Tamandua tetradactyla: one gene and its partners. The protein of the gene in region 1 interacts with the protein of each later gene in a pairwise test. Links are inferred from orthologs where the notes say so. Each region holds a gene or a part of one and is shown in the gene's direction. Other genes may lie near its edges.

Evidence for each region. The genes of interacting proteins can lie anywhere in the genome.
Region 2: the proteins of LDLRAD1 (region 1) and MARCHF2 interact in binary tests that used the Homo sapiens proteins (3 or more experiments, as listed by UniProt). The two-hybrid records come from large-scale screens. The link is inferred for Tamandua tetradactyla from reciprocal best matches to the Homo sapiens genes LDLRAD1 and MARCHF2.
Region 3: the proteins of LDLRAD1 (region 1) and BNIP3 interact in binary tests that used the Homo sapiens proteins (3 or more experiments, as listed by UniProt). The two-hybrid records come from large-scale screens. The link is inferred for Tamandua tetradactyla from reciprocal best matches to the Homo sapiens genes LDLRAD1 and BNIP3.
Region 4: the proteins of LDLRAD1 (region 1) and PLN interact in binary tests that used the Homo sapiens proteins (3 or more experiments, as listed by UniProt). The link is inferred for Tamandua tetradactyla from reciprocal best matches to the Homo sapiens genes LDLRAD1 and PLN.

Annotation. Positions count from the first base shown.
Region 1 is NC_135328.1:167,435,391-167,443,451, forward strand, and holds the start of LDLRAD1 (low-density lipoprotein receptor class A domain-containing protein 1), read left to right. Parts: upstream 1-4,938; coding exon 4,939-4,959; intron 4,960-5,513; coding exon 5,514-5,568; intron 5,569-8,061.
Region 2 is NC_135337.1:84,859,890-84,867,469, forward strand, and holds the start of MARCHF2 (E3 ubiquitin-protein ligase MARCHF2), read left to right. Parts: upstream 1-4,426; 5' UTR 4,427-4,526; intron 4,527-4,998; exon of another isoform or gene 4,999-5,172; intron 5,173-5,472; 5' UTR 5,473-5,528; intron 5,529-5,564; exon of another isoform or gene 5,565-5,699; intron 5,700-5,767; exon of another isoform or gene 5,768-6,356; intron 6,357-7,580. UniProt on the Homo sapiens protein: E3 ubiquitin-protein ligase that may mediate ubiquitination of TFRC and CD86, and promote their subsequent endocytosis and sorting to lysosomes via multivesicular bodies.
Region 3 is NC_135339.1:94,575,713-94,583,206, reverse strand, and holds the start of BNIP3 (BCL2/adenovirus E1B 19 kDa protein-interacting protein 3), read left to right. Parts: upstream 1-4,340; 5' UTR 4,341-4,515; coding exon 4,516-4,561; intron 4,562-5,807; exon of another isoform or gene 5,808-7,363; coding exon of another isoform or gene 7,364-7,385; intron 7,386-7,494. UniProt on the Homo sapiens protein: Apoptosis-inducing protein that can overcome BCL2 suppression. May play a role in repartitioning calcium between the two major intracellular calcium stores in association with BCL2.
Region 4 is NC_135331.1:179,386,405-179,394,552, forward strand, and holds the start of PLN (phospholamban), read left to right. Parts: upstream 1-4,994; 5' UTR 4,995-5,127; intron 5,128-8,148. UniProt on the Homo sapiens protein: Reversibly inhibits the activity of ATP2A2/SERCA2 in cardiac sarcoplasmic reticulum by decreasing the apparent affinity of the ATPase for Ca(2+).

The DNA of each region.
Region 1 (8,061 bases):
ACCACATCAAGACAATGGTTTTGCATGGATATCCTATCGATCCACAGTTGACCCATTTAGCAACCACTTGAGAGCGTAAACACCAGGCCTTATGGTAGGTGATAATTTGCAACAACAAGCAACACCCAGAGCCTGACTCCAGGTTGCTCAAAGAAGGAGACAGACTATTCAGGTAATAAGTGCTATGACCAAATAAGCACAGAGCGTTGGGGAGCATGTAGCAGGGCCCCTAACTTTTGAAAGTGATATCCAAACTTAAAGCTGGTAGAAAAAGAAAAGACAGACAAAATACAGGGAGCAGTGTTCCAGGCAGTAGAGACAGTAGGCTCATGACACAGTGGTAAAAGGGTGGGGAGTTGCAAATTGTTTAGTAGGCTGAGATGTAAAATGCTAAAGCATGGCAATAGTTGGATTGGAGGGACCAGATAATAAAGGAACTTATTAAGCCTAAAATTGATCTTGAGCACAATAGGAGCCATTGAAAGCCTTTAAGCAAGAAAGATAAGTGTTTTAGAATGGCTCATTCAGACAACAATGAGGAGGATAGAAAAGAGGAAGAAGGTCTAAAGGCCAACAATATCAACCTTTAGGATCCATTAAATTATGTAGTCATCCAGTCTGTACCCTCTTGCAGAACCACATTGAAAGTAGCAAGAGAAGAACCTGCTCTAAATGGGAAATTCTATTCCCTTATCAAGTTTTTTTTTCTCATTCCCATTAATCCTATTTCCTTTCATTTTACTTCATTTTTATTTTTGAACGCTTATCTATATATATGGCTCTCTGTTCCCTCTCATTGTTGTTTTGGTGGTAACCCTAGAATTGGTCTAAGGGCACTGGTCAATATCTAAGTGATGCCAAGCAAACTGGGAAGGCTTCTCCATTGATACCAAGTTCCTTCATGTGGGGCTATATTTTTAAAACTACAATGCTAAGGCAATTTGACACCATCCACTAATTCACCCCCCCACCAGGTTTCTAGTTGCTAAGACTGTCATATTTGCATTTGAGATCATCAGTATGAGTAACCTTTTTCATCTTTCTTTTTTTGACCTCTGTTCTAATTAGAGCCTGGGTGTGGGGGTATATCCAGGTAGCCTGTGGGAGATTAGTTGTACAATTAGTATGGATTTTCGGACGTCTTGCAGTAATTAAATTCTGAAGCACAGTATATATCCCTTTTCTGAAATCTGTATTGTTGAGACCAGGTACATGTATTTCACTATAAATACATGTACCAGGTGATGTTAGTGACTTCTTTGTTTAGAGCAAGGATTCTTAATTTTTTTTGTGTGCCATGGACCTTTTTGGTGGCATCTGGTGTAGCCCATGAACATTCTCAGAATATTGTTTTCAATTGCATAAAGTTAAATATGAAGGACTGCAAAGGAAGCTAATTATATTAAAATACAGTTATCAAAATATTTAAAATTTTTTGTTAAACAGTCATATATATACTTTTATACACATAAAATAAAATATAGTGGTAGGTCCAGAACTACTAAAGTTTTGAAGCAATTTCAAGGTAATGTTTTGAAATCACCAACTGAAATATGATTATCAAAATATTTATGATTTCTATTGGTGATAAAGTCACAGGTAGTGCTAAAAATATTGTGGCTTGTTGACTAAATTCATAATGGAAGGAAATGCTGTATTTCAGTTAGAAATTAATGAAAATAAAGATTTAACTTTTTCCATACAAATTTACAGAACCCATGCTTTAGAGGTTGTTTAATATTCCTTTGTCATTTTAAGAGTAAATTATTTTTGTTTGTTCATTTCTATATTATTTGGGCTTAATTTTACTGCCTCTTGTGTGCTTTTTTATGCTTGAATTGTTTTTGCAATGTTGGAACAGCAATTATTGAACGGCTTGGGTGCAAAAAAATCAGCAACTGATTAGAAATGAGAAGTTTCACAAAAGCTCTTAATGTTACCTCAAGATATAACATCATGTAGTCATTACTGGAAAATCAAATCTGTTAAATTCATAATGCTTACACATGGTAAACTTGAATAAAATTTGAATCATCTGCATTAAACAATATTATAATGTTATCTTGTAAAAGTGTCTACCTAGATAATTCTCAGTGGAGTTTGTTGATTCCCCATGACATTTGCAAAATTTTTCATAGTACTCTCACATATCACCTTAAATGGATCCTTAAAACATTTCTCCAGAAAGGCAGGATGGGGTTTAACTTCTCCATTTTACAGTTGAAGAAACAGTCTTGGAGAAGAAAAGTGGTCAGCGGGGAACCCAGAGTTATGGAAGGCACATGGGAGGAGTGATAAGTGCCAAGTCAAGCACTGAGCCTCGCCTCTAGGCAGTTCTAGAAGTAGATCTCTCAGGTCCCAGGGTCAATCTGTTTGAGTGCCCACTTAGCATTGTCCAGCCTGGAGCTGGTTCCTGGATTAAAAAGTAGCCCCAGCCCTCAAGAAGATCTCCCTGTAATTGGAAATAGATTAGAACATTCAGAAACAATATTGCACACCTAAAGGGAGTAGAGCACCTTCATGTATGTGCACTCTTCATCTTTGCTTGTGCTCTGCGAGGTGGAGCTTCTTATTCCCATTCTTCAGACGAGGAAGCTGAGGCTTAGGGAGAGTCTCCCTTACCCTCTCGAATTAGATAGGTATCAATTTGCAGTCAGGATGAAAATCCAGGTCTGTCTGATTCAAGCTGGGGTTTGCTGATATCACATCCAGTGGGTCTCCCCTAGCCACACCCATTTTAAGATGGGGGCACAGACCATAAGGAATGTAGGGAAAAGTAAATCCAGGGAAGGAGGGAGGGCCAAAGAAGGCTTCATGTAAGGAATGAGGTTTTACCTGGTCCTAGACAAGAAAGATGGTTGAATTTAGAAAAAGAACTAACAGAAGTCACCCTAAACAAGGACAAGCCACACACTGGGAGGAGATATTTATAAACCATGTAACAAAGGATTCAAAATCTAGCTTAAAGAAGTCCATCAAAAAGACAAACTACCCATAGAAAAAATGGGCAACAAATTTGAAAAGCAATTTACCAAGGAGGAAATCCATATGACCAGTAAATAAAAAGACAGCATAATAGTGTAGGACAGGGCTTCTCAAATTTTAATATGCATTTTAGAATCACCTGGAGGTCTTATTAAGCTGCAGGTTCTGATTTTGTAGGTTTGGGGTATGGCCCGAGATTCTGCATTTGTAACAGGGTCTCACTCAGATGATGCAGATGCTGCTGGTCCATGGACCACACTTTTGATAGAGAACAATTCAGCCAGCCCAGATCTGAATCCTCACTTTGCCACTTAGCAGCTGTGGAGCTCGGGCAAGTAACTTCTCTGTGCCTCAATTTCCTCATCTGTAAATGGTCCTTATTACCTATATTTGGGAGGATTGAATGTATTAATATATGTAAAGCATGTGGTACAACACATGGCAGAAATAAGTGCTCAGTAAATGTTAGCAATTGGTGGTAGTAGTGGGAATAACTAGAGAAAGGCAAATTAGACTGACCAGACTGGCAGATGTCAGAAAATCTGACAATTTCAGGTGCTGGTGAGGCTGTGGGGAGGCAGGAACTCTCTCACTTTGCTTATGGGAGTGCAAAGTGGTACAGTCACATTGAAGAGCAGTTTGGCAGTATCTGGTAAAAGTGAAGATGCCCGTACAGTGTGATTCTAGATGTGTGTTAAAGATCAGGCTAAGGAAAGAGACATACACTAAGATGATATTTATGTAAATGTTGAACAACACAAAGGTGATACTGGATATTTTAATGCAAATATACATACGTAGTTAAAGTATAAAAATCAGTCACTTAGAAGCATACGCGGGCAAATTTAGGAGACTTACTGACTCTGGGGAGGGAGGGGAGGCAAATAGCACTGGGAAGATAGAGACCTTCAATTTTGCTGTACTGAATAGAAAAAATACTAGAAAATAGCAGAAGTAAAAATGACTAAATGTGAACATTTGTTAGCTCTGGGTAGTGGACATACAATTACTTGTTACATTATTCTTCCTACTTTTCTGTATTTTTCTTAAGTTTTGAAAGTTTTATGCTGAAAAAATATTAAAGGGGGGAGAGGTTGGAGCAAGTGAAGAAAGTGGGCTTGGCAGGTGTTGGACAAATAGAACAGAGGCTCACCTGTGAGGCACTGGCTTTCTTCTGAGATAAGTGGAAAAGTTTAGAGAGGTAGATAGGGAAGCTGAAACTCAGAAAAGTTAGTGACCTATTATCCCAGGTCACAAAGCTAGTACTGCCAGTTCCAAAGCCAGCGCTCTTGCTACAAGTTTCTCAGACCTGGGATTATTCAGGTGAGCAACCTGCCCCTCACCATGCCACTTCCCACCTCAAGCACCATCTCAGAAAAAATAAAAATGCACATTGCTACTTTCTAAAGAAAAATAATTTTAAAATTACATTTCCATTATTGAGTCCAATGGGAAAATGAGTATTCTTTCAACTTAGATTTACCTACTTAATTAAAAAAAGAAAATGAAAAATGACTCTCTGCTTTTTACCCACCAAAAGGTTAATTCTGGCTGTTTCTGCTTGCATCTTATGCAGCTGGAGGACTGAGAGCCTCCCGTTTCATCACTGATATAAAGGAGATAGCTCATCTTGAAAAGTTCCTGGGTTCAAATCTCACCTCTCCCAACTACTGTGTGACCTATGGGCACCTTCTTCCTCTCTGAACTTCAGGCCCTTCTTCCATAAAATGGCTACAGAGTGGGGAAGGGGCCCTCCTACCCTTTCCTTTGCCTGGAGGAAGTTGAGCACAGCCATGAGGGGCTGGAAGAGAACTGCAGGGTAGCCTGCAAGGGAGGGTGTGGCCTGGGGTGAGACTTCTCATCCTCCCTCCCCCAGGCTGCCCTGGTGACAAAACAGGGAGCCTACCCTGAGTCCACTCTAGTCCCTAGAGACTGGAGCTGGGAGTCCGAGACATGAACAAGATCTTCCCCCAGGTAAGTGCTGCTCTGACCTGATCTCGGGAGCAAACCCTGGTGTGAGGCGTGGGCAGTGAAAAAGGAAGATGTTAAGACTGCCTGCGGGAGCCACTGAGGTAAACCTGCTCTTAGGTAGGGTTTCACTCCCAGCAGGTGAATCACCTACACAGCTCAGGGGCAAGTGCTGGGAGGGAGCCAGAGGAGCCAGATGGACAGGAGGCTAGAGGAAAAGTGTGAGCTACATTATCAGAGGGGGCAGCAGAGAAAGTCTCACTGAGGAGGAGCCACCTGAGCTGGTTTGGGGATGAGCGTTTGCCAAGCAGACAGTAGAGGAAAAGGCATTCTAGACAAAGGTATCCTATAGGCAAAGGTGTGGAAATATGAAGTAGGCACGATGTGTTTGAAGAGCTCAGCATGCTGAAGTGTCAGGGAGCAGTGGTTCTATCTGAGATGGGGGCCAAAAGACTGATCTACTCTCGGGCCCTCAGTCTCCCCTTCTGAAAAACACTGAGGTCTGACTGCCCGAGGCTGGGCCTATGCTAAGCCAGGCCTCACTCTGTTCTCTTGAGCAGGGAGATGTCAATGGCAATGCAGCTGCTGGAAGCAAAGCCCTCTCTGAAGGGGAAGGTAATGGACTGGAGCGATGGACTGCGATTCCCCTGAGACTGGGCAGCTGACTACAAAGAGGTTCCCCCAAAGGTCCTACTGTCCCCCAGACCTCTACCCTCCATGTTTACGTCTACTCTCAGCTTCCTGGCTGGTCACGCTGACAGCCACTGACATAATAGCATCGGTCATTCTCTCCACTCACAAGCATTTACTGAGTACCTACTGTGTGCTGCCTACCTCACAGGCACTGCACCATTTACAGGACCCACCTGTATTTCAGAGAAACGAGCTCCAAAGTCAAATCCAATAATTTCCCTGGGAAATTATTTTTACCTCCGAGGGATCACATACATCTGTATCATCTATGTGCCACTGACTCACTGTGCAACCAAGACAGTTCTCTTTATCTTTATGAGATAAAGGAAGGAGGGATCCCACATTTATTGCCCATCAACTCTATGCTCCTCTTGACCCATATTTATTAGATCAGTGAAGAAAAGACCCAGAGAAGTAGAGAATAATAATAATAATAGCTAGAAAGGGTCGGATCCCTACTATGTGCCTGGTACTGCATGGTCTCTTTTCATCCTCGGGACAGTTCTGAGAGGGGGTCCTTGTTAATGGTGCAGTAACAGATGATGCAGCTGGGACTCAGGGAGGTTAAGTAACCTGGCCAAGGTCACAGAGTTGGTAGGTGGGAGAGGCAGGATTCGAATCCAGATTGGGGGTCTGTGTGATTGCAAAGCCCTAGTGCCTTCCATTGCTCCACACTGATGTTTATTTCCAAGTCCTGACTGGTGGTGGGGGTGATTGTAGGGCAATGGCCTCCTTTGCCCCATCTGTCCAGGGAGGAAAATCGACATTTGAGAGCCTTTCCAGCTTTGAAATGGAGCTGAAATCGTCACTTGATTCTGTCGCCTCTCCCTTGAGTCTCTTGCTAACCTTGCACATGGACTCTGCTGCACAAATATTTGAGGAGTGGCTGCTTGGCCATCTAGAACGCCTCTCCTTGCCAGGCTTCACACTGTCTCCCTGGTTATCTGAGTTTACCCTGTGTTTGCCAACAACAAGGGAGCCCTGACTAGGCTCAAGGGATGACTAGTTTTAGATTTATGCTTCATTTTCTACTACTGTCTCCTCTCCCAATACACACCAACCACACGGGGTCCGCCACTGCCCCCACATACCTTTCATGAGACCTTCACTTCTTCTGTACTTCTCTGCCTGGAATGACCTCCCTTTGCACCCTATACCCTCATCTATGTGAAAAAGCCCCCGTTCCCCAGGCCCCTCCATTGAGCTCACACAGCACCTCGCCTAACCACACTTACTACCTGCCACTGTAAGCTGCCAGTGTGCTAGGTATGGGTCTAACTTGTCAGTGAGTGCAGAGTAGGCAGCTCCAAAAATACATGTGTATTGGATGGAAATGGCCTGAGCTGACATGAATTGGGGGCCTACCCTAGACTCCTGGACCTCTGTGGCAAGCCTTGCCCTTCTTCTTTCAAAAATACTCACAAATCACCTACTATGTGCCTGCCTCTGGGCTGTACTCTGGGGATACAGAGATGAACCAGAACCATTCCTGTCCATTTCTCTGAGATAGCCGAGGCCTGAAACATGGTAGTTGTGCCCACATTCTCCTTTTTATATGCCTGTGCCTTGTCTTCTACGTGCATCTCCTAAGGGCCAGATTCTCTGCTTCTTTGGTGCCCCTTGCAGAGTAGGACAGCCAGTATGGTCCTCAATAAAGCTTTATTTCATTATTTCATAAGCAAGCAAGAAGTAAAGGACCAGAGATAGCGCTTATCACTGCTATTTCCACAATGCTTGGACTAGAGCTTAGCACATAGTAGGTGCTCAATAAACACTAAGAATAGCTAAAACCTTCATAGCACTTACTAGGTGCCAAGCACTGTTCCATTGACTAACAACCTTCTCGACAACTCTGTAGGGTAGGTATTCTACCTAGAAAATGAGGACACTGAGGCCCTGGAGAAGTGAAGTGACTTTCCCAGGGTGACCCAGCTAGCAAGTGGCAGAGCTGGGATTCCAATCAGTGTTTTCTGGCTGACTCCAGAATGGACAGTCAGAGTCATGGAAAGGGCAAGGGTTTGGTATCAAACAGACATGGACTAACATCCCAGCTCACACCGGTGACCTGGAGCAAGTCACTTCTCCAAGTCTCAGTTTCCTCATCTATAAAATAAAGAGCTATTATAAAAAATAAAAATAACAACTTTGAAGGGCCGAATGCAGTTTCTGCCCCATGGTAGGTGTCCATCTGTCCCTCGTTCTAAGGAGACAGACTCACGGAAGGATAGGAAAGGTGTGGGCTGGGGGATAGAGAACTGGATCTTCATCCCAACTTTGCCGCTCACCAGCTACGGGACCCAGGCTAGGAATGGGCTTTTGGTGGGCAGTGGGCTCCCAGGCAGAACCAGAGAGCTTCATGGAGGGCTTAGGAATCCCCTCTTCTAAGGAATCCCTCCCTGCCCCCAAAGCCCACTC
Region 2 (7,580 bases), on another chromosome or scaffold:
TTTTAAGGGCATGATTCATTTGTCTTGTAGTTTGTCAGTCTGAATTTCCATGATGACATTTTCTTTTTGCTTTTGTGTGTTTTTTTAATTGATATAAAACATTTAAAAACTCACCATTTTGTCCATTTTAAAGTGTGTAATACAGTGGCTTTTAGCATATTCGCAAACTGTATAACCATGAACACAACTAATTCCAGAACATTTTCATCACTCCCCAAAGAAATCTTACCTGTTAAGCAGCCACACCCCCTCCTCCATTCTCCCAACCCTGGCAGCCACTAATCTACTTTCTGTCTCTATGGGCCTACGGTATCATTTACTATGTCTCTTTGTCCCCTGGATTTCCTGTAAATTAATAATTAGATCTAGAGGTATGATCAGATTCAGGCTTGAATGCTTCATAGGGACAGCTGAGTACTTATGCTAGGAAGCACGTAACTTTTGTGGTAGCAGCTGCTGGTCAACATCACCTAGATTTTTAATTCATTAGGGGTTAAAAAATGGTGATAGTCAAATTCGATCCTTTCTTCATTTACTTCTGAAATACTTCTCTAAAGAGAAATGTCCCTTCAACTGCTATGTGGTTACCCTGAGGGACAGAGTATATGGAATGCCAACATGGATACACAGTTCTTTACTTGCCAGTTTTCAAATTTCATCATTTTCAAAATGATGAGTTGGTTCCCAAGGAGCCTTCAAAGGTGACCAATTAGGGATTTTTTTTTTTTTAATGCATGAATTTAGCTGCTTAGTTGGAGTACCCGGTGATAGATGGGGTAGGGCAGCACGTCCGGGGCTGATGTATTTGGCCAATGTATTTGAGATTTTGGTTATAAATGGGGGGGGGGGGGAGTGGTGTTGAACAAATGGGTAAATGTATTGAGAATCAGGAAAACAAAGTTTTTCACTGCAGAGAAAGAAGTTACAAACATGAAGGGGCTGGAGTAAACCTGGGCTTTGGACTGGAATTGGAGGTACTGGTGTGTTTTAAAAGATAAATAGTAGATGGGGAGATGGAGAGATAGAGAAATAAAGGTAGATAGGTTAGATAGATAGATGGTTGGCCGATAATAGCAGTAGATATAACAGATGGATAGATAGATGTGGAAGGATGGATGGATAGATAGAGAAAAAAATATAGGTATGTCTGTATATAGGTACATAATACATATACATAGATTTCCCAGCTCTGTATGATGAGAGGGACCAGAATTAACAATACCGTGGTAAACACACTTGGCACCCAGATCCTGGGTTCTACAAATTCTCCACTAAAAGGAAGCAGGGGTCCTTGGAGAAATGGTTGATTCTAGGGTTGGGACAAAGAAACAAGGGAAAAATACAAGTTAAGTTAGCCTGGAACATTTTGTGGAGCCAATAAGAAGTGGTTAGTATTTGATGGTGGCATATCAACAGGACACAAGCTATCTTGAACAGCTTCCATTGGTCAAATCAAGGACAGTTTAAGGCATTAAAATAAGTAGTTATAGCAAATAAATATAACCCTTTGAGTAAAATAAGAATCCAGGTGTCCCTGATGATACAAATAAATGGGGGAGGATGGAAAAGTTCTATCTTACACACAAACACCAATGTATAAGTCTCTGAGGTATGATGGAGTTAGAAAATCATCCTTTGGCAACCATCATAGTAATAATTGATTTAGGCAAAAATCATGGATGGGTACAACTCTGGTGAGTGCAAATTTGTTGAGAAACAGGATATTTACTTAGCTTCAAAGTATCTCTCCACTTGTTAATTGACAAGTATTACATAGTAACACTGGAGAAACCTGGCAGCCATCATTTTAACCCTGCAATAAAAGTTAGCATCACCAGCAATGGAAAGGTTCATATACCTCCTGATAGGTCTACAATATCAGCTGCCAAAAATGAATAAATAAATCATGAGACACTGTTAGACAAACCCAAACTGAGGGACTTTCTACAAAATAAACTAGCCTGTGATCTTCGAAAGTGTCAAAGTCATAAAGGACAAGGAGAGAATGAGGAAATTTTCCAGACTGAAGGAGACCAAAGAGACATGATGGCAAAATACATCATGGAAGCCTGGAATGGAATCTGGTTCTCTAAAGGAATAAAGATAAATAAATAAAATAATAAATAAAATAAATAAAATAATAAAGTCTCTAAAGGACTTTATTAGAAACTCTGAATGGACTTTTATGAATTAGGATCCAGAAATGTTAATAACTGGGGAGTCTGGATGACGGGCTTATGAGAGTCCTGTGTATTGTTTCTGCAACTTTTATATACATTGAAGTTATCTTAAAATAAAAAGTATAAAAAACCCAAGTGCATGGACTTAAGTCCATATTTGATGAGTTTTGGTTTATTGCAATAATTATTCTTATTGAAAGACCAGCTTGTTCTATCTTTGATCATTGGGAACCCCTTCCAGTTGGCTCCTATTGATACTACCTAGAAGCTTTGGTAACTCACATGCTTTGTGATACAACAAGATGCTCCAGGCTTTTCTTGTACAGTTTCTGCTTTGGACCTAGATTCAGGCCAACCAAGGTTCCCTGGTTCCTTCAGCTGAAGATGGTATTTAGAGACCATAGTCAGGATAGCAAGAGTACTCACTGAAACTGGATTGATCTTTGTTTCTCATCTTTTCAGTACACAAAGCTAGGAAATGGTTGTTTTCTTATAAACATATAATATATTATGATACTTCCAATTTAAATTCAAGAGTTTAAGGTTTTGACTTAATCGGTCTTACACTTCTATCTCCTTTCGCTGCCTCTGAAAATCCCAGATCTTGACACCAACGTAATTACTCCTTTGCTTTTTCTGGTACTACATATGTTACCAGCTCAGAATAACAATTCTAACACTATGACCAAAAATAAATAAAATGGTTGTGCCTTCAAGTTATTAGGTGTCCATCTCTTGTGTTGTTTTCTCACTAACTGGACACACAGTCTCCAAAAATTGTACACTGTCTCAGTTGTTTTATTTTCCTTTTGCTTTATAGGAATTTATTTACATTTAAAATTTTGTTTTGTAATCACTTAAAATATTTATTTTGATGATTTAAATTATTGAACTATTATAAATATAAAACTGGTGATTATTTTAAATATTTTATTAAATATTTAAAATATTATAAAAGGAAATCATTATAACAACTTAAACATTAAATGCTTAAATAGTTAAAATATTTAATTATTTTAAGTATATTTTAAAATAATTCAAAGTCAAATCTTTAAAACAAAGGTGTATTTTTAGAAGTCTAGCTTCTATCCCTGTCCCCCCACCCCCATTCTTTTTCTTCCATCTATAGGTAATTATTTTTTAAATGTTATGGTTAGGGGAAAAAAGGCATTGAAAATATAAATAACTGAGTAATTACAAAACAGCATGTTTGCCTAGTCAAAATTATACTAATTAAAATGGACTGCCTGATAAGGCAAATATATATATATACATATATATATATACACATAAATATATATAAATTTAAATACATAAATATTTAATTTTAACTGAGTCAATTGAGCTGATCTATATATTCCTTGAAGGCAGGGCCAGGAGGGGAAAGGAGTACTAGATGATTCTCTATCCTACCTCAGGGCCTTTGCATGTACTGATCTGTCTGTCTTGGACTCTTTCCCTCTCTTTTCTCCTACTTCACCTCTACTAATACCTCAGAAAGTCACCTCCATTGCTGGTTCTCAAGGAAATAGTTTCAGACTTCCCAAATTATTCCAAGCTCTTACAATACGCCCTCCTCACTTATGACAATTGATCACATTTGTAATTAATAATTATTCATTATAATTGGTTGCTTAATGTCTGTCTCACTCCCTAGATTGAGGTCCACGAAGGAAGCGATGTTTGTCTAACTCAATATTGTGTCTCCAAAGCCTAGCGCAGTGCCTGGCTTATAATAGGCCCTCAATGAACATATATTGAACGAACGAATGAATGAATGAATGTTGACTTTAAACAGGAGCCATGGCCCCCAACCTCTCTAGGCTTCTATTTTCTCCTCTGTAACATGCAATCACACGGTCTCTTCCTCTCCCCAGGACCGATGAGACGCGTAAGGGAGGTGACAAACACTTAGAAGTCGCTCTGCCAGGTGGCATGCGGAACTCGGGAAACGCTCTTAATTATTAACTAGCAAGGTCGTCAGCAGGTGGCGCCGTCTTCCCTGCGGGAGCCCAGGACAGGGCTGGAGCGGGGCCGGGGCTGGGGGCGGGGCCTGGAGGCGGCAGGGGCGGAGCCAGCGGCTGCGGCGCCGCGGGGCCTGTGCGGCTCTGGTCGGCCCCGTCGCCCCAGGCCCCACCTCCCGGGGCGGGACATTCATGGTGATTGGCGAGGGCGGGAGGGAGGCGGTCGCCATTGGCCCGCGGCGCCGTCTGCTCGGCGGGCGGTGCCCCGACGCAGGTGCCAGCCGGAGCGGGGCTAGCGGCGCTGACGGGCCGGGCCGGGCCGGGACCCGGGCCGGGGTGAGCCGAGGGGCCTGCGCGGTCGCCCGGCCCGGCCACAGATCAGGTAGGCGCGGGCCGGAGACGTGTTCGGCCGTCCCGCCTCGGGTTCGAGGCCTCAGCCCTTCCCCGGGACGCGGGGTTCGCACTGCCTATCTCGAGGACGGCGAGAGGCTCCCGGGGCCCGGCACCCAGTAGGCGCCTCTGTAAGCCTCAGTTTCCCTTTCCGTGAAACGGGGTCATCCCAGTGCCAGTCTGAAGGGGTTGGTAAGAGAATTCAGGAGGTGGCGGATGTGCAGAGCGCCCGGTACACAGTAGGTGCTCAATAATAGTCAGTGCCCTGTCCAACCCTTTTCACCCTTTTCTGCCTGGAAAATTGTAAATATCCTACCCTGCCAGGCACTGTGCACAAAGCACTTAGCAGAGTGTGGGGCACGTGATGGAAGCTCCAAACAGGGTGGACAGAATGTATATTAGTGCATTCGGTCCTCCAGGAACCAGAGAGGTGGAAGCACTAAGAACTGTTCCCTGTTTTACAGGTGAGAAAATCAAGGCTCAGAAAGGTTAAGTCTCTTGCCCAGGGCCACACAGCAAGTAAGAAGCAGAGCTGGGATCACAACCTGGCCTCACATGCAGGGCCAGGGAAGTATGGAAGGAGGCATTGGAGTCGGCCTGTCTGTGGCCACCGGCATGCAGGAAGGAGGCTGGCTCTGGTGAGGGCTGAGGGATGAACGCATTTCACAGCCTCCATGTTTATCCTATACATGGTGAGATGTATTTAGCACTTACAGTATGCAGGCACTGACTGTTTGGGCTCGTAAGATTCTCAAACAGCTCTGTAAGCTGACAATGGGGACTGTGATAATGACTAAAATTTGTTGAATTTCTTAATATTAACTGACTTATGATCTGGGTAATCTTTTGACTATCATTTTCCAGATAAGGAAACTGAGGGCTCAAAGAGTGATGCAGCTTGCCCTCTGACTCATCTTCCTCTAATTCTTTGCCCTCAGGAAAAGGAGCCTGGGAAAAGGTACCTCAGCACCTCCCCAGACAGGCCTTGCCCGGGGTAAGCTTCCCAGGAGGAACTGATCGTGGGTGCTTCTTCTCAGAGGGTCCCTCAGCAGACTCAGTCTACCCACTCCATCAGCATATTTGACAAAGGAAGAGGAGCACCAAAGAAGCAAAGCGACTTCTTCTAACACTCAAGGAACCCAGACCTACTCACCGGACATTTTGGGTTCAGATCCTGGCACTGTCCCTTCCTTGCTGTGTGGCCTTGGGAAAGAAATGTCCCTCTCTGAGCCTCAGTCTCATCATCTGTGCATTGGGGTTAATCATAGGACTTATTTCATAGTTTGTTGAGAAGACTCAGTGAAATACATCTCCTAGGCTTGGGGCCAAGGCAATGGCTCCCACTCCTTTCACAGCAGCCCCAGAGCTGCATCCAGCCTGCAGACACCCCTATCCTTGTTTCCAGCCCTGAGTTTGGCCTTCTCCAAGCCCAAGCCTCTGCAGCTTGCTTGGCCTTCTAACCTCTAAACCTCTCTTATTCCCACCCCAGTGACTGGCAGACCAGGATCTGGGTGTCAGAAGACCTGGTTCTCCCACTCTGGTTTCACGCAGAGCAGGGGCTGAGAAATTAATTCTGCAAGAGTAAATGTAGCAACTCTGTGCCAGACACAGTGCTGGGGAGCTGGGGACAAGAGGGAGCAAGTATGATGTCCTCCTTTACCAAGCTTACCAAATAGACAAAGAAATAACAGCATTTCAGAGAGGAGCATGTGCTATGAAGAAAGTAACCTGGACTCTGCTAGCACTGCCAGGGTGGTTAGGGAAGGTCTCCCTGGGATGGTGACCCTGGAAGAGGACATTTATAACAGCTCTTCAGAGCTCAGTGAGTTGACTAACAGACATGCAGGCTGCTTAAGTCAGTACCTGGCAAGCATTTGGTGCTAAAACAGAAGCTGCTCTTATTATTATGTTGGAGATTTGCATTAGCAGACTCATCAGTGTTTTGTTTTTTTTTTTAACCCTGATAGTAAAACAAATGGCAGAACTTAATATGTGGGCTCTGGGATAAGTCTGGTAACTCCCAGTCATTTGCAGAAATGTTAAGTGACTATGGTTCAGACTGATCCTTAGCAAGGGCAGGAGGCATGGGCCCACCTCTATATGCATTCACTTGGAGATGCCCCCATGCTATGGATTCATCTCTCGAAAGGGACAGCTGCAAACACAGCCCCACAGGCCTAGCTGCTGGGCTCCACGCATTATCTCAGTCTTGCAGCCTTCCTCCTGGCTCCTCCTGCCTTTGGGCTGATAACTTGCTTATCTGGCCGACACTAACCCAACTGGGGAGGCCCAGAAGGGCATGTTGGGCCAGGAAAGCTTTAGGCTGGGCTATGAAAAGGGCACTGAGGCATCTACAGACTGTCCTGGTGCAAAAAGTTCGTCAATAGCAGATGCTGCTTTTTTTGCCCTCTTACTGTGGTCTCAGATTTTGACTGGCAGGGGTTGGTAAAAGCTGATTGTGGGTATACCACAGTGAGTATTTGACCAGCCCCTTCACTTGTGGTTTCTGAATATTTTGGGGATCGCTGCAGTCATAGCTCCTGGAGACAAAGACACAGGGGGTAGATAAGTTGGGGGCAGGCCCTTAACGTAGGTGTAAGGCATCTGTGTCTGGTGGTGACACCTAGGAACTGCTGTCACTTTCATGAAATTCTCAGAGGGAAACACATGCAGGGAATGGGAACCTCTCTTTCATGTGTCATCGACTGGCTCTGGGATAGAGGGGCAGGTTGCCTAGTGTTCTGTTTGCTGATCAGACCCCAGGTTGCGGGGCAGAGCCCTGAGAGTTCCCATCCACAGCACATTGCACAACTGCTGCCTAAAGCTCCAGCTGCCTGCTGGGGGCAGAGGCATGGCTCAGAGTCTCTGGTCTGGTGGGGGCAGAGGCTGCCTCAGTCTACCTCAGCCCCTGCCACTTGCTTGATGGTTGCAGTTGTCTGAGCCAAGGAGTCCAGAGCACTCCAAGAGTCAAGATGACTGACCCATTCAGGTCAGGGAGGCCACACTTCTAGCTCAGTTCTGCTCCACCTAGAGGCAGGCGCAGATA
Region 3 (7,494 bases), on another chromosome or scaffold:
CTGACTTTGGATATCTGAGCTGCTGCGTCTCCTGTTCTCTGTTCTCCGGTGAAACACTGTTGTTGTTTTGTCTTCCAGAATGCTAATAATGCTGGTTCACCCAGGACCCAACTCCAGCACTCCTCTATATTGTCGGCTTATTTCCTTGTATTTCCTTACTGTCATTTCAATCGGATTTTAAGAGCAAGACAGAACTAAAAGAATACGGTCCCTTGGAAACCATAAATCAGATAAACATTTGATATCCCGTATACATAAAGAAATTACACAGCTCAACAACAAAAGAATAAACAACTCAATTATAAAATGTGCAGAGCATATGAGTAGACACTTTTCTGAAGAGCAAATACAGATGGCTAAAAGCTCATGAAGAGCTGCTCACCTTCTCTAGCTATAAGGAAATGCAAATTAAAACTACTGAGATACCACCTCACACCTGTAGGAACAGCTGCCGTTAAACAAACAGGAAACTACAAATGTTGGAAAGGATGTGGAGAAGTTGGAACACTTATTCACTGCTGGTGGGAAGGTATAATGGTATAGCCACTGTGGAAGACATTTGGTGATTGCTCAAAAAATTAAATAATGAGTTGCCCTATGACCCAGCAATGCCAATACTCGGTATATACCCAGAAGAGCTGAAAGCAGTGACACAACAGACATTTGCACACCGATGTTCACAGCAGCATTATTCACAATTGCTAAGAGATGGAAACAATCCAACTGCCCGTCAACAGAGGAGTGGGTAAACAAAATGTGGTTTGTCATACAATGGAACATTATGCAGCCGTGAGACGAAATGAGGTCCTGGAGCTCATGACAGCGGATGACCTTGAGGACATGATGCTGAGTGAAGCCAGCCAGACACAGAAGGACAGGTTCTGTGTCATCTCCGTATTATGACCCTGGTAAAGTTGAGAATGTCGAGGCTCAGGTGAGCCACACGAGTTGCTCTGGATTATAGGGCAAGAAGTGATCAGCTCGGACAGAAGGTCACTGCAGCGTCCTCTGATATTTTGTGCACTGTGATCTGGGTGAAGCCCATGGGGACAGCTGGGGAGTGTGGTGCTCTCCTGCCCGCATTGCCCTCCCACGTCCCTTCTTCTCTCCCTCCTTTCCTCTCTCTTTCTGTCTCTTTTTCTCTCTCTTTTTTTCCCCTCCTCCCTTCCCTAAAAGTAAAAACAGATAAAAACAAACATCTAAGTCCCCATGCCATTCTCCCCACTGTAAAAAAAAAATATATATATGGCACCTCTACCATCTTCTTCCTTACTTAGGTTTCTATATATATTGATTTTCCCCTCCATTCATCCTTTAAACAATTTTTATTGTGAAAAATAGCAAACATATAAGAGTAGATGGAATCAAATGAGCCTCTATGTACTTATGACCCAGCTTCAACACCTCATGGCGTCTATACCTCAATCCTCCACCTGCCCTCTCTGCTATTTTGAGGCAAACCCCAGACATCATATTTCTTTACATAAATATTTCAACATGTAACTCTAAAAGTTAGTAACTCTTAAAAATACCTGACCTGTGTAAATATATCTCAATAAAAATTGCGTTTAAAAAAAAAACACCTGACCACTATACCCTTATCACACCTAAAAGTAATTAACAATAACACTAATTTTTTCAAATAGTTACTTTGTGCTCAAATTTCTCTTTCTCTCTCTCTCCCTCCCTCTCTTTCCCTCACCCCCACGCCAGCCAGTGTCAGGAAACAAATCCATCTCCTTTTTCCCCTTGCAATTTATTTGTTGAAGAAAATGAGTCATTTCTCCTATGCTTTCCCACAACCTGCATTTTGCTGACTGCAGCTCTAGGCCAGCACATAACATGCTCCTCTCTCGTCTGTGCTCTGAATTTGGCAGTTACCTCCAGAGGCTTGATTAGATACAGGTTTTTTGTTTGTTTTTTAATAAATTAAAGAAGTTGTAAGTATACAGAAAAACCATGCAAAACCAGGTTTAATTTTTTTGTGGGGGAAAACCAAACTATTTCACACGCTGTGTTAGGGCCTTCTATGGGGGGACAGAATTTCTGGTTGACTTTGTGTTATTAGCAGCTGTTTGTGATCGATGAGTGGATTCATTCATTCAGGAGGAGCAGCAAAACAGTGATGTTCTCATCCCCATATTCTCCCGTCATTTAGCTGGACCACTTCTGTAGCTAAGGGGTTGGGGGAAGCTTTCCCCTTTTCACTCGAAAGGCAAAGAAACCACCAGCCTGATGACATTTCCTGTCTCCTCTTTGAAGAGCGGCTGGTGTGGGCAGAGAATCCCAGGGCCCTTGGCCTCTCCCCGCTTGTCACCAGGGCACATGGACTCGCTCTGCCCAGCCTTCCTTGGTGTGGTAGTTAGGTTCAGGTGTCTACTTGGCCTGGTGAAGGTGCCTAGTTCTGTCGCTGTGGACATGAGCCAATGGCTTGTGGACCTCATCTGTTGCTGATTACGTCCACAGTCGCCTAGGAGGCCTGCCTGCTGCAATGAATGATGTTTGATTTAATTGGCTGGTGCTTAAATGAGAGACTCAACGTAGCACAGCCCAAGCAGCTCAGCATACCTCATCTCAGGGCAAGCAGCTCAGCCCAGGCCTTTGGAGATGCAGAAAGGAATCACCCCAGGGAAAGTTGTTGGAACCCAGAGGCCTGGAGAGAAGGCCAGCAGGGATCACCCTGTGCCTTTCCATGTAAGAAAGAACCTCAGTTGAAAGTTAGCTGCCTTTCCTCTGAAGAACTGCACATTTTTAATGAAATAAATCCCCCTTTATTAAAAGGCAATCCATCTCTAGTGTGTTGCATTCTGGTAGCTAGCAAACTAGAACACTTGGTCACTGTGCCTCTTGGGCCATGTGTCCTGCAGCTGCAGTTGGCACCTCTGCTGTGGCCACAGCTGCGTTCTGCTTTTGTTGGTCCATTTTTCTCTTCTGGAGCAGCAGTGAGGCTGTGTTTCAAGTCATCCTGGGGGGAGGGGGGGTTCCCGGGTGCAGACCTTCCTGATTGGCCTGGCACTCAGTCCCCAGACACGACCTCCTGCCCTCTCCTGGTGTTCCGCCTGCACTGCACGCCCCCTCCCCAGCCCACAGTGTGCCAGAGTCCGTCCCAATCTCCAGGAAGCCTGTGGCCAGAGGTCTCTGGCCCCAGACCAAGGCCAGCCAGGCCAAACACACCTCAGAGGACCAAGCAGGGGATTCTCCGAGCGCTGGCCGCTTCCTCCCCTGCTCTCCACCACCGGGGCCCGCCGGGCACCAGACAGAGCCAGGCCCCATTCTCGGGCTGCTGCACTGAAAGTCTGAAGATGTCCTAGGGTGTCAACCGCAATTTGAGGTGAAAGGTGAGAAAGGATGACGACTCCTGAGCGTGCGGGCAGCCTGTAAAGGAGCCTGGCTGGGGCACTGCCTTGGAGTGGACACAAGTGGCTCCCAGAGGGCAGGAAGAGGTGGAGGGGCGCAACGTCAGGGCCGCCAGTGGGACTTGGGCTCCCAGTTCCTGGCCAGGCTGAACCCCTCAGCCTCCCCAGTCCCCCAGTGGGTGAGGTTCCCCAGGCGGCATTCCCACACAGAGGAGCGAAGGTGCAGCCTTCCGGAAGGCGCCACATAGTTTGGGTCTCTAAGTGCACAGCAGCCACCTCCACCTGGAAGCCCTGCCGGGGTTCTATTGTGGGGGTAAGGGAGGAGAGCGGGACGCCCAGAGGCGCAGCCGCCCTGGAGCCGGTGGCCCTGCTTCCTGCTTGCCCAGACCTGTCTTTGAGTGTGTTCGGGTTCGGGTTCAGACCACATTAAACAGAAAAGGGTTTCCTCCTGAGAGCCGCAGCCAGCCGCGCGCCGCCGCCTCCAGGTCTGCATCGCCTGCGGAAGGAGGGCTGGGTTACCGCCCCGAGAGGGCCGCGAAGCTCCGCGGCAGCCGCGCCTCTCCAGTTTCCGTGACTGAGCAGCTGCTGGGCCTAGCGCACCTCAGTTTCCCCGGCCTCCATGCGCCCCAGACCCCCAGGCCCTCGGCCACGCAGCTCGCGGCACTAGGTTCCATCGCGGGCCGCACACAGGCCCCGCGGCCGCCCCGCCCCCGCCTAGACCGCGGCACCCGGGGAAGCCCGAGAAAGCCTCGCCCCGCCCCCTCCGCCCTCGCCCCGCCCCGCCCCCTCAGCCTCGCCCCGCCCCCTCCGCCCTCGGCCCCGCCCCCTCCGCCCTCGGCCCCGCCCCGCCCCCTCCGCCCTCGGCCCCGCCCCGCCCCCTCCGCCCTCGGGCCCCCCCGCCCCCCGCCCCCCGGCCGCGCCGCACGCGCCGCACGCGCCCCGCGACCCCGCGCACGCGCAAAGGTCCCGCCCGCGGCCAATGGGCGACGCCGTCGCGGAGCCCACGTCGCGCCCCGGCCCGGAGCGGTCAGTCGGGGCTCGGACGGCGGAGCTGGGCCTGCGCGCTGTCTCCTCTGCCCGCTCTGCCCGCGCTCTCCCCGAACCGCTCGGACGCGCCCCCGCCCCGCAGACCCCGCGGCCGCAATCTCCCTCCGGAGTCATGTCGCTGAGCGGGGCCCCCGCGCTGCAGGAGGAGAACCTGCAGGGTAAGGCCGGGCGCGGGTCGCGGAGCCGGGGGCGGCCGGGGGGCGGGCGCGGCCAGGGGAGGCCGGGGGCCCGGGGGAGGCCGAGGGCCCGGGGGCGGCCCGGGGGGCGGGGTGGCCGGGGGTCGGGGTGGCCGGGGGTGGCCGGGGGTCGGGGGCGGCCCGGGGGTTGGGGTGGCCAGGGGGTCGGGGTGGCCGGGAGAGGCCGAGGGCCCGGGGGCGGCCCGGGGGGTGGGGTGGCCGGGAGAGGCCGAGGGCCCGGGGGCGGCCCGGGGGGTGGGGTGGCCGGGAGAGGCCGAGGGCCCGGGGGCGGCCGGGGGTCGGGGTGGCCGGGGGTGGCCGGGGGTCGGGGGCGGCCCGGGGGTTGGGGTGGCCAGGGGGTCGGGGTGGCCGGGAGAGGCCGAGGGCCCGGGGGCGGCCCGGGGGGTGGGGTGGCCGGGAGAGGCCGAGGGCCCGGGGGCGGCCCGGGGGGTGGGGTGGCCGGGAGAGGCCGAGGGCCCGGGGGCGGCCGGGGGTCGGGGTGGCCGGGGGTGGCCGGGGGTCGGGGTGGCTGGGGGAGGCCGAGGGGGTTGAGGAAGCCGTGAAGGCAGGGGAGGCCTGGGGGCCTTGGGGAGGCCGAGGGTCGGGGCAGCAGTGGGGGCCGAGCCGGGGGCGGCCGCTGAGCAGCAGCGCTTCCCCCCGGGAGGAGGACCTGGGGGGGGGCTCGGCTGTTGGCAAGAGTTAAACTGTGCGCAGTTGAAGGGTTAACTTGCCCCTGGACTAAGGGGTCCTAAAGGGAAAGCCCCGGCACATGGTTTTTCGGGGCAGGGCAGAGGTGACGGGAAATCGGGGCGCAGTCCCATCTTGAGGAAGTCTGTGAAGGAGCAGTTGGCCGTGGATAAATTCACAGTTTATTGTTGCAGTGTTTTAGGAAGTAGCCTGGGCAGCGCTGTGGTCTGCTGCTCGTAGGGTTCGGGTGGGGTGGAGTGGGCTTGGCCTTCTCGGGGCGCCGATGAACCAGCCGAAGTCATTCCGATTCCGGAAGGGGTGCTGTGGTGAGAGGCGCCGTGTCAGCCTGTCGTCCCCAATTCCAAATGTGTAAAAGGCTATTTAAAAAGACACCTTCTTGTCGAAACCGCTGCAGTGTGGGCCTTCCCCGCCGGGGCTGGGCAGTGGGCAGCGTGAAGGAGGTGTCCCCCAAGAGTGCGCTGCCTGGGCAGAAGTGCCTCCCGCCAGGCCCACTGTCCGCGGAGCCCCTGGGCAGAGGCTGCGGGTGCCGGACACCGCCTACAGCTGGCCCGCCTGAATTATTCCTTGTAGCAGCTTAAACCTCACGTCGCAGTAGAACCTTTCGAGTTTTCTTGCATTTTCTGTGGTTTGGCCAGTATTGATTTCAGCAAACAAATACTGCAAATTGAATTTTATGGTTTTTAGTTTTTAACGATTAACATTTGTATCTTAGCGACCATCTTTTTTTTCCTAAAAGAGGAAGGAAGGAAAGGGGGAAGGGTGTTTACCAATATTATATAGTGCTCCTTTTTTTCAGGAAATGAACATTTGAAAAATGATACAGGCATGCAGTCAGTTTTATTTTTAAGGTTGGTGTTCCATTTCTCCTGGAGGGTCATCGTGAAAACAGTGTAAAAGTTGACTTAGGGGTCAGAAAAGTACAAGAAGAAGGACGCTGTTCTGCCCCAGCTCCTTGGCGTTTCAGAGGCGGCAGGAGCCCCAGCCCTGGAGCCTGGCCCTGTGCGCCCAGGGCACCCCTCCCCCCCAGCAGGAAACCAGGGCTCCCCGCAGCTAAGGGGGGCCTAGGCTCAGCCCCCCTGGGTGGGTCTGCCCGCACAGGAATGCCTGGCACACCTGGCTTTTTCCTTTGGCCTCACTGACACAGCCCGGGCCCAGGGGGTGGGTAAGGAGCCTGGCCACTGCTGACTTTTGTCCTCTCTGAAGCAAGAGTTCGCCAAGCAAAGTGAGCGTGTAAATAAGCTCTGGAGAGGACTGTTGAGCCCTTTGAGAGTGCATTTGCAGCCTTCACTAAGGTGGTTGAAGTCCTTGGACTCTTCGGCTGTATTAGAAAGCTGCCTGTTGTTAAATTGTTTTTCAAGGTAAGATTTAGTTAGCCTAAACTAAATCTTTTTTATTGTATTGTATATGTACTTAAAAGCTACAACCACATATTTTAAACTCCTGTAGTTCGGGTCTTTTTTAGCATGGACTCATTCCCCCATTTGAAATAGATTAAGGGAGGTTTTTCTTTCTTTTTGTCATGGAGTAAGATCCATGGAATGTTTTATAAGTCCTTTGCCTTAAAATCACCCTTTTTCTAATGAACACACTCCTTTATTTCCAGTACTGCTTATTTTACCTCTTGGTTCAGACATTAAGCCTCAAGTTGAGGGTCTTTGGAGCAGAGTTTGGGGTCCTCTGGAGGGGAGCCCATCAGCTCCTCCCTCCTTGGTTTAGAACCCAAATTGCTGAGTCACTGGCCACACAAGACTGCCAGCTCAGGAATTGAAAGGTTTTTGTTTTTCTGTTTTGCTTCTTCTATAAAAAGATGGTTACCCGCAGAGTGGAAACTCGCATTGAGGATTCCCTGGGCCGCCCTCTGACTGTACGTGCAGCGGAGCACGCTCCCTGCCCAGCCCCGCCGGGAGCTGCCACTCCGGTCACATGGGACCGCCCAGCTGCCCCGAGACTGTGAATCTGCACTTGGCTTGCACAGCTCCGCTCTGAGTTGATTCTCCCTTGTTTACCTCTGAATGGAGGCCCGAGGAGGCCCTGGTAGCCGGAGCCCGTGGGAAGGGCAGCAGGCTGTGTGACCAGATGCTTGCAGAAGAGTTAGCAGGTAGCAAAACTGATTCTGCTCCCCTTTTGCTACCCGGTCCTTTCTGGTTAAAGCTGTTGACAGGTGGGATGCTTGTATTTGCCGTTCCTTTTCTCTTTAGCTATTCTAC
Region 4 (8,148 bases), on another chromosome or scaffold:
TCAAATAATCCCACCATAAGGAGATTTAAAACTGAAGCAGTAACTCTAACTTTTTACAGAAAAGTATCCCCAAGAGCTGGGTAAAGTCTTCCTGGAGGCCTGGGGGTCTGATCTTTGAAATCTTACATATATCACAAAAATTCATTCAAAGTTTGCATTTTTACTGCATTATGTTTACTTAAATATTAAAATGCTCTTAGTCACCACTTCAAATTAATTTTTTTCAAAAATTTCCAGAAAAAACTAGTCTACTCTGAAGCTTCCTTTGCCCCGCCATATTACTACCAATTGGAATTCAAATACTCAATGTAAAAAATTACATACATCATGATATCCATTATACAGAGGTAAAAACAAGCAAAATAGGAATAAATACTTTTGAGGAATACATACAAAAGCTATAAAACTATATAAAAACAAAAGCAAAGAAATGAACCTGGTATTCAGAGCGATCATTTGCTTGAGTAGGAGGAACAGGGTGATGAATTGGGCAAGACCCTGTAGTTGAGTATGTTATTGCTAACATCCTGGATTTTGGTTGAGGAGATGACTTCACAGGTCCTTATTACATTATTAAAAAGCAACAACTAGACAACTTTACATAAATGAAAGTAGGCCATGTATGGGCAAATACTGAGTGCCTAAAGAACCATGGATTATTAATACAATAAGGAAAGGAAAAATTTAATGAGGGAAAAAAGGCTCAATTTAGGACCTTGGGCTTATAATATGACCTTCTTAAACACTCACCCACTAAATATATTTACACCTTAAAACAATAAGACAGTAAGTTCTTTTCTCAGTTTTTCTACTTCCCAAGACTACCAATCACTTACATCCTTCTCTTCCTCCCCATACTGAGCTTTAAAATTGGGAAGGATTTTTTAGCTGACCCTAACATCTACCTCAGCAGGATAACTCAGCTCTACAAACCTGGCAATCTTTCCCTCTCTCCCTTTCATTTATACATTCAATACTTAAGAATTTCTATGAACCAGGTTCTATACTAGACGATAGCATTATAAAGAATAAATAGTAGTACAAATATGAGTCATTGGATCCACTTTTAAGGAGCGTGCAGTCTAGGCAGAATAAAACTAATAAGCACAATAAAAACAGACATGATATGGGTTCATGCAAAATCATTTGGCATACGGCAGGGATGGATTTTTCACAAAATAGGTAAATTGAAATAGTACTTTGATGGGAATAAGGGTTGGTTAGGGAGGACATTCCTGCAAGAAGTACTGAGGCTTAAAATAGCATAGCCTATTCAGATGGCCATAGGCAGCTGTAAGCCAGAGCATGGAGTAAAAAGGGATGTGGTAAGAGATGAAGTTAGAAAAACAAGACCTAAAATATCAAGCGAAGACATTTGGGTTTTAAGCCTGAGAACTGAGTCTTCCTCTCTCAAAAAGCACTGCCCCATACAACTACAGAAGCATCCTCCAAGACAAGAATTTTAAATTTGTTTGGACCAGGTACTCCACTTTGGCAGACTGAAACCTACTGATCTGTTTTTATAAGTTTTTATATAAATAGAAAAATTCCAAACAATGTATGTAAATACTTGATCCTTAAGTTGGTGGAGCATAAGTGTGGGGTATATATAATGACTTCCTGCCAAAGAACACAGTATAGAAAGGGAGAGGAAAAAGAAACCTTACAATAGAGATATCTAATAAACAGTACTCACCCAGGTGATCAAGGTTAATGTCAACACTGATTATTCATGTTGACAGTATATACCCTTGATGTGATCTGATGAAAATGATACTTCACCTCTCTGGTCTTTCTGCCCAAAATACATTACTCCAGTCTAACCAGGAGAAAAACATAAGACAAATCTTGAGGACATTCTACAGAAATACTTGATCTATATTCCTTGAAACCGTCAAGGTCAAAGAAAAGTCTGAGAAATTGTCACAACCAAGGGAGCCTTGGAAGACATCATTCCTAAATATAATATGGTATCATGGATAGCAATCCTGGATCACAAAAGGTTATTAAGGGAAAACTGAGGAAGTCTGCATAAAGTATGGACTTCAGTTACTAATAGTGTGTCAATATTTGTTCATTAGCTGTGACAAATAATGAGACAAATAACCATACTAATGAAAAATGTTAATTTGTAGACACTGGGTGTGAAGTAAATAGGAACACTGTACTATCTTTGCAATAATTATATAAATGTAGAACTGTTCTAAAATAAAAACATTAAAAATTATAAAATACATAGGATTAGAAGGCAGTGCAACAGTCGTTCGGTGGCAGAATTCTTGCCTGCCATGCCAGAGACCCAGGTTTGATTCCCAGAGCCTGCCCATGCCAAAAGAAAACAAACAAACAAAAAAGGAATAGAAAGGAAACAAAGTATATTGAAATATTTTTAAAAAACAAATATGTGAAGTAGTAATAGTTGCTTCTGTATTAACACATTAAATAACAATGCCTAGAGGCAGGTCTAATTATAATAATTTCAAAGTCGTTATGAACATAAACAGTATTTAAACCACCTGCAACCACATGTGAAATTATGTGGGATTTCTATAGTGACAGTCACATGGACTGCTAATGCTTCTGAGGTTTTCACCTGCAGTCAAAACTGAAGCAATGTTAAATATTATTTAAAGCTCAGTAAAAAAACAAAAGCTCAGTAAAAAAACAAAGACGCAATTTTTCCCGATCCATGTTCAAGGACCCTTGATCTCTTCTACCCATGAACTCCAGGTTAAGTACCCATCCTTCAAAGGATTTCTACAAGTCATTATATCCACTTAATATCATTAAACCCTCACAACAATCCCATTCTACAGATAAGGCAGCTAAGGGAAGTTACTGAATAAGGTCATGTGGCCAAAAATAGATTCAAACAATCTAACTCCAAATAAAAATTCTGACAAAGTACCCCTGGAAAAATTTCCAGCCCCTAGTTGGGGAATTTTTGAGGCACCTTTTATTGATTATATTGTAGCCCATCAAGTCTAATAAATAACTTTTGTTTGGGCAACCAGGTTAAAACTAAAATGTAACACTACCTAGAGCATCATTTGGACTTAATAATTGTTTAAGCTATGCCAAAGGAAAAGGGTAATCAGAAGTTCTCCATCCTTTTACAAGTCAGAAAAGTAAAATTTTATTTCCATTTACCAACTTTGACACATACAATTAATATCCTTGTGAAGTGTATGTACTTGTATATGCTTTTAATTAGCAAACGTGAGCTATATAGGGCATATTTTATTTAGTTTACAGCAATTTTTTAGTTTATCCAATTAAGTATTACTATTTTACTTTTCTAGAACTAGAGGTGATCAAACTACAATAATCTATTCCCTAAGCTTCATTTTCAAATGATTGTGTAAACGGCCAGACAAACTTAAAGCAGCCCTTCTAAAAATAACAAGTTACACTAATTCACCCTATCTCTATCTTATAAATTTCCTAGTAGGCTATATGCTACTCTGTGAATGTTATAATCCAAATAAGGATGTTTCTTTCCCCACAAAATGCCAATCCATCAGGGAATTTTTACTAAACAGATCTAGATTTGAGTGCTTGGTCTATCTTTTTGCAGCTGTCATCTTTGACAAACTACTATAAACCACTTTAGGTTTCTAGATTTCATATTACCAATCATCACTGGCCATTGATAATAATAAATAAGAAAGCCTTACTATTATGTATAGATTGAAAGAAAAATTGCTTGTAGAGTGCTTAGCAGTGTCAAACATTATTCATGCAATTTCTTTAATTTTGTGTTGACTTTTAAGTTGAAACACTATTTTTCAGTTAGTTTTAGCTGCTTGTTTAAAAAGAGAGTTGCTCAGGAGATGGATTTTATCTTTCTTTGGAAGAAGCCAAGACAATCTCCATTTAAGGAGTCATAAGCAGCTGCTGCTACACATTTTAGTTACCCATAAGAAAGTGAGGCAGGCTGAGTTACACTCAAGCTAAAAAAAAATTAAAACTGAAAATGTTTTCTTCCTAGGTCTTATATTTATGACTTACGTGACAAACCCAACAGTATATAAACAAACATAATGAAAACAAAATCAAAAGAGAAATCCCCAGCTCAAACTATTTCTTCAAAGGACGTTTGAAATGCCCTGTAAAAATTAAATACTGATTTTCTTCTTCTAAATGCTAATTTCATAACAAATAGCTCCTCCAAACTTACAAAAGAGACTTAAGAACTAGAAATTGTGTGTCTGGTGATTTAAGTAAATCCAATATGCAAAACTAAAAATTAGATTAAAAAAAGATAAAATAAAATAGGAGAATGAGGCTGACTTTTCAAAAAGATTCCTTTCCCAGTTCTTAGACAGACTCTTCTAAAAAGTTCAAAATATCATTCCATTTACTGAAATTTCATTTATATAATATTTTCAGGAAAACAACTGCTACATTAAATGAAGGACATCATTTTAGAAATACTACCCAGTTATTAGCCTGGTTTTCTCATAGACACTGTTCCTGATACACACAAAGGTATGAGGAACAAGAAAAAGATAAGACAGGAAAAGGTGTAAAATTTGATTCTATGAAAATGTTTAATTGCTATTATGCCAGAAGCTAACATTATAAAATAGCAGTATTAAAGCAAGAGCATAAGTAACAACTCACTGAAAGTTGTTTGGCTCAAGCTCGTATTATTATTGTCACTCTCTTAAAATTCCTATTGCTATGACTATTTTAGCTCTTCAATTTTATCAACGTTAGACATTGTATAGTATACAATTATCTCTAAGCCTGTAGATGGAAAATCTTTAAAGAGAGCTTTCAGAACACCATCCCAGACTACTTTTTTTTTATTTGCCAGATACCTTTTTAAAAATTAAAAACAAAAAATGAAGCACAAAGTGTGAATGACCTTTCCACACCACACACCTACCTAAAGATATGTGTTCTAAAGAGTCTGGTTACGATAAAACTATGGCTAACCAATCACAACTTCAGAATCCCTGAGTGACATCATAAGTCCTTCCTACAATACTTTTTCTCCTCCACCTACTTCAATTGTTCCCATAAACCTGGTAACAGAGTCAGAAAATTTCCCAGCTAAATGCCTATAAGACTTCATAGAACTCACAATACACTATTATTGTGAAAATCACAGCAGCCAAGGTAAGATTTTACTCATTTTGGTAATTTTTACTTTCTATAATTTAAACTTACTAAGTTTTTAAGAAAGAATTTATCACATTTTGTAAATTTCAGCTCAAAGTTAGACAATAAAATATTTTATATGACAAGTTTAATTTCTAATAAAAGAATTAATTTTGAAATGAGTCACATTCATCTTTGATCTTGGTTATTGGTTTCTCAGTTTAAGTTAACTTTCACTTTTATTTTGCTTTCCAGATGTGAATTTCTGCCAACTTAAAATCCTTCCAATTATGTTACTATATTTGGTGGTAATGACGGTTTAATTCCACCATGTAAAAGCAATGGCTTTATTTTATTTGTTACTCTGCTGAAAATTCAGGCAGGTCAGGACAATCTGAATCTAGACCACCATGAATAGCCAGCCATATGGCTGCACAACGTGCACACAACTGGCAAATCTATGCCTATATTATTACTGTGACTCCTCACAGTAAATAGGAATAAAATGGAGTTTAAGAGTATACAAGAGCATACAAGCTACTTTTAAAATTCTCTTGAAGACTTTTTCCAGTCAACTTTAATAAAATTAACTTTTTCCAGTCAACTTATGAATTCCAGTCAGCTTTAATAAAATTAACATTTAAAAAATGCGCACTTTTAATAAATTGTGTTAATAAACTGTTAAATACCATATTATGGCATAAAGAACAAGTTTAGAAATTTTAAAACATATTGCCTAAAACAGAAATCCTTCTAAAATTACAGAAAATGATGTAATATTTTAAAAATAAAGTGCAGTTATGTTGGCAGCACAAATGTTCCTAAATATTTCATTGGAATAAATTTGGTAAATGAACCTTTAATCTACCTATTAATGGACATACTTTTGTCAGATTATTATCCTCCGAAGCTCTTTTCCTTCCTGCATTTAGAAGGAAAAAAGAAAGAAAAATATTGCCCAGGAATTGAGAGGCTGCAATAAATTTTATGACTTCTATTTGATTCCATTGTACTCTATGTTACAATCCTCAATTTAATACATATGTGAAATGTTTATTCATTCTTAAATCTCTATCAGTCAGGGCATAAAGATAATACATAGATTTCATTTCATTATTTATATTTTTCATATAAATGCTAAAATAAAATTTACCTGTAAAACTCTGTAAGTATTAATTTTCTGCTCAATACAGATAAGAACTCTGTAATTCCATAAGTAGCTTTCTATAAGACATGTACAAATATTTCTAATTTTTATTTACCATGGACACACCCCAACTGCGTCTAATATCTCCATATTCTTAAAATGGTTTCCCTTTAATACTACACAAAATTCACTTAGTGTATGTGTTATGTGCATGTTTATGCATTTTTACTCAAATATTTATCAAATTATAGCTCCCATTTCAACTGGGGTATCGTGGATTCTTTTATTGTACCAGAATTTTACCACAATACACAATGCCCCCAAAAAGCACACAGTATCTAGAAAGGGCAGAAATTCTACTATGAAAGCCTTTATTTATAAAGAGTGTTAGGTGAAATAAAATGGAAGAAATGTGAAAGATACTTAAATTATGAAAAATTAAGTTTTAAAAACTGGTGAAAAGGGTAGAGTATTTGCTTTACTAAGAGGAGTGATGACACTATGATTTCCTAAAACTGAAATATCAAAACTATTTTAACAATATTTAGGGGACAAAAGAAAATGATATTCTAAAAACAATTATATTTGGTTAGACATTTATATATATATATCAATAGCTTCTTATTTAAAATTAATCTAAATTTAACTGGTGGTAGAATATTTGTATAAATAAAATAGTTCAATAAAAGAATAAAAACTTAAATGTCTAAATATAAAGGTTAGATTACCTCTCTGCATTATATAGGGTATCTCTTAGCAATTACAGAACAGTGAGATGTTCTACATGCACTACTGAACAAATATTTCATCTGAGCTTCTTATCTCATCATATGTTTGATATTACACCTCCATTTTATACTTTAGGAAACAAATGCCAAAATATGAAATGTCCAAGCTCACCGAGCTAGGAAATGGTGGATCCTTAATGGGAGCCTAGGTTTTACAACTCTAAACCATAGACTCATCTTACACTCTGATCAACATGGCTTAAAAATAAATCATTAAATAAATAAATAAATCATGATATTGGCAAACACGAGGATAGAGATTTCTATTTTAATTTGAAACCATTCCATTTCAAGTGGATTTATTCATCAGCCATTACGTTTAGCCTAGTAATACTTTCCTGATCATTTTTAAAGACAGGAATAAAAGTCATAAATTTCCTTAGTTATTAAACAATATATGCTGAAAGGCAAAATTCAAAATGATTACAGACTTTAAAAACCAAAAACACACATCACAATCAATCCAAATAAATTTTCCTTTTATTTTATTTTATTTATTTCATATACTCGTGGCTTTGATCCATTTAGCTCTGATACTTGAAATTCAGATTAAAGCATCCTCAAAACTTCTCAGAAAATCCACACTTGTGGTAGTTTTCTTTAGTTTCATATTATATTTTTGGCTTTCCTCAAACCCTTTTCTGCCCCTTCATTCTATCATCTAAATATCCAATCCTATTTGTTTTCAGGTGCTTGAAAAGAGAAATCTCACCTTGTTAATCATGCTATGAAAATAACTTTAATCTAAACCATTAACAATTAATACAGTGCTGATCAGATTGGCAAGGAAGTAAATCTAATGGCTGAAAATCAAGGAAATAATCCCTCTAAATTACAGTGACCTAAATCAAATAAGATGTAATTTCTTTAGTCATTTCCAGAAATAGCGCATTAATGTTCTCACCCTACCTAACTCTTAAGCATATGTCACCAAATAAATAAATGAAAATGAAGACCAAGTATACACTTCTACCCCAGTTTACTTGGAATAGTAGTATACTTGTAGTCAGCTGAGGACCTCTAGTGCTTTTTACAATATATTCCACCTTCAGGACTTTCAGAACAAAAAACAAAAACAAAACTTGACAATTCACTCACATTAGT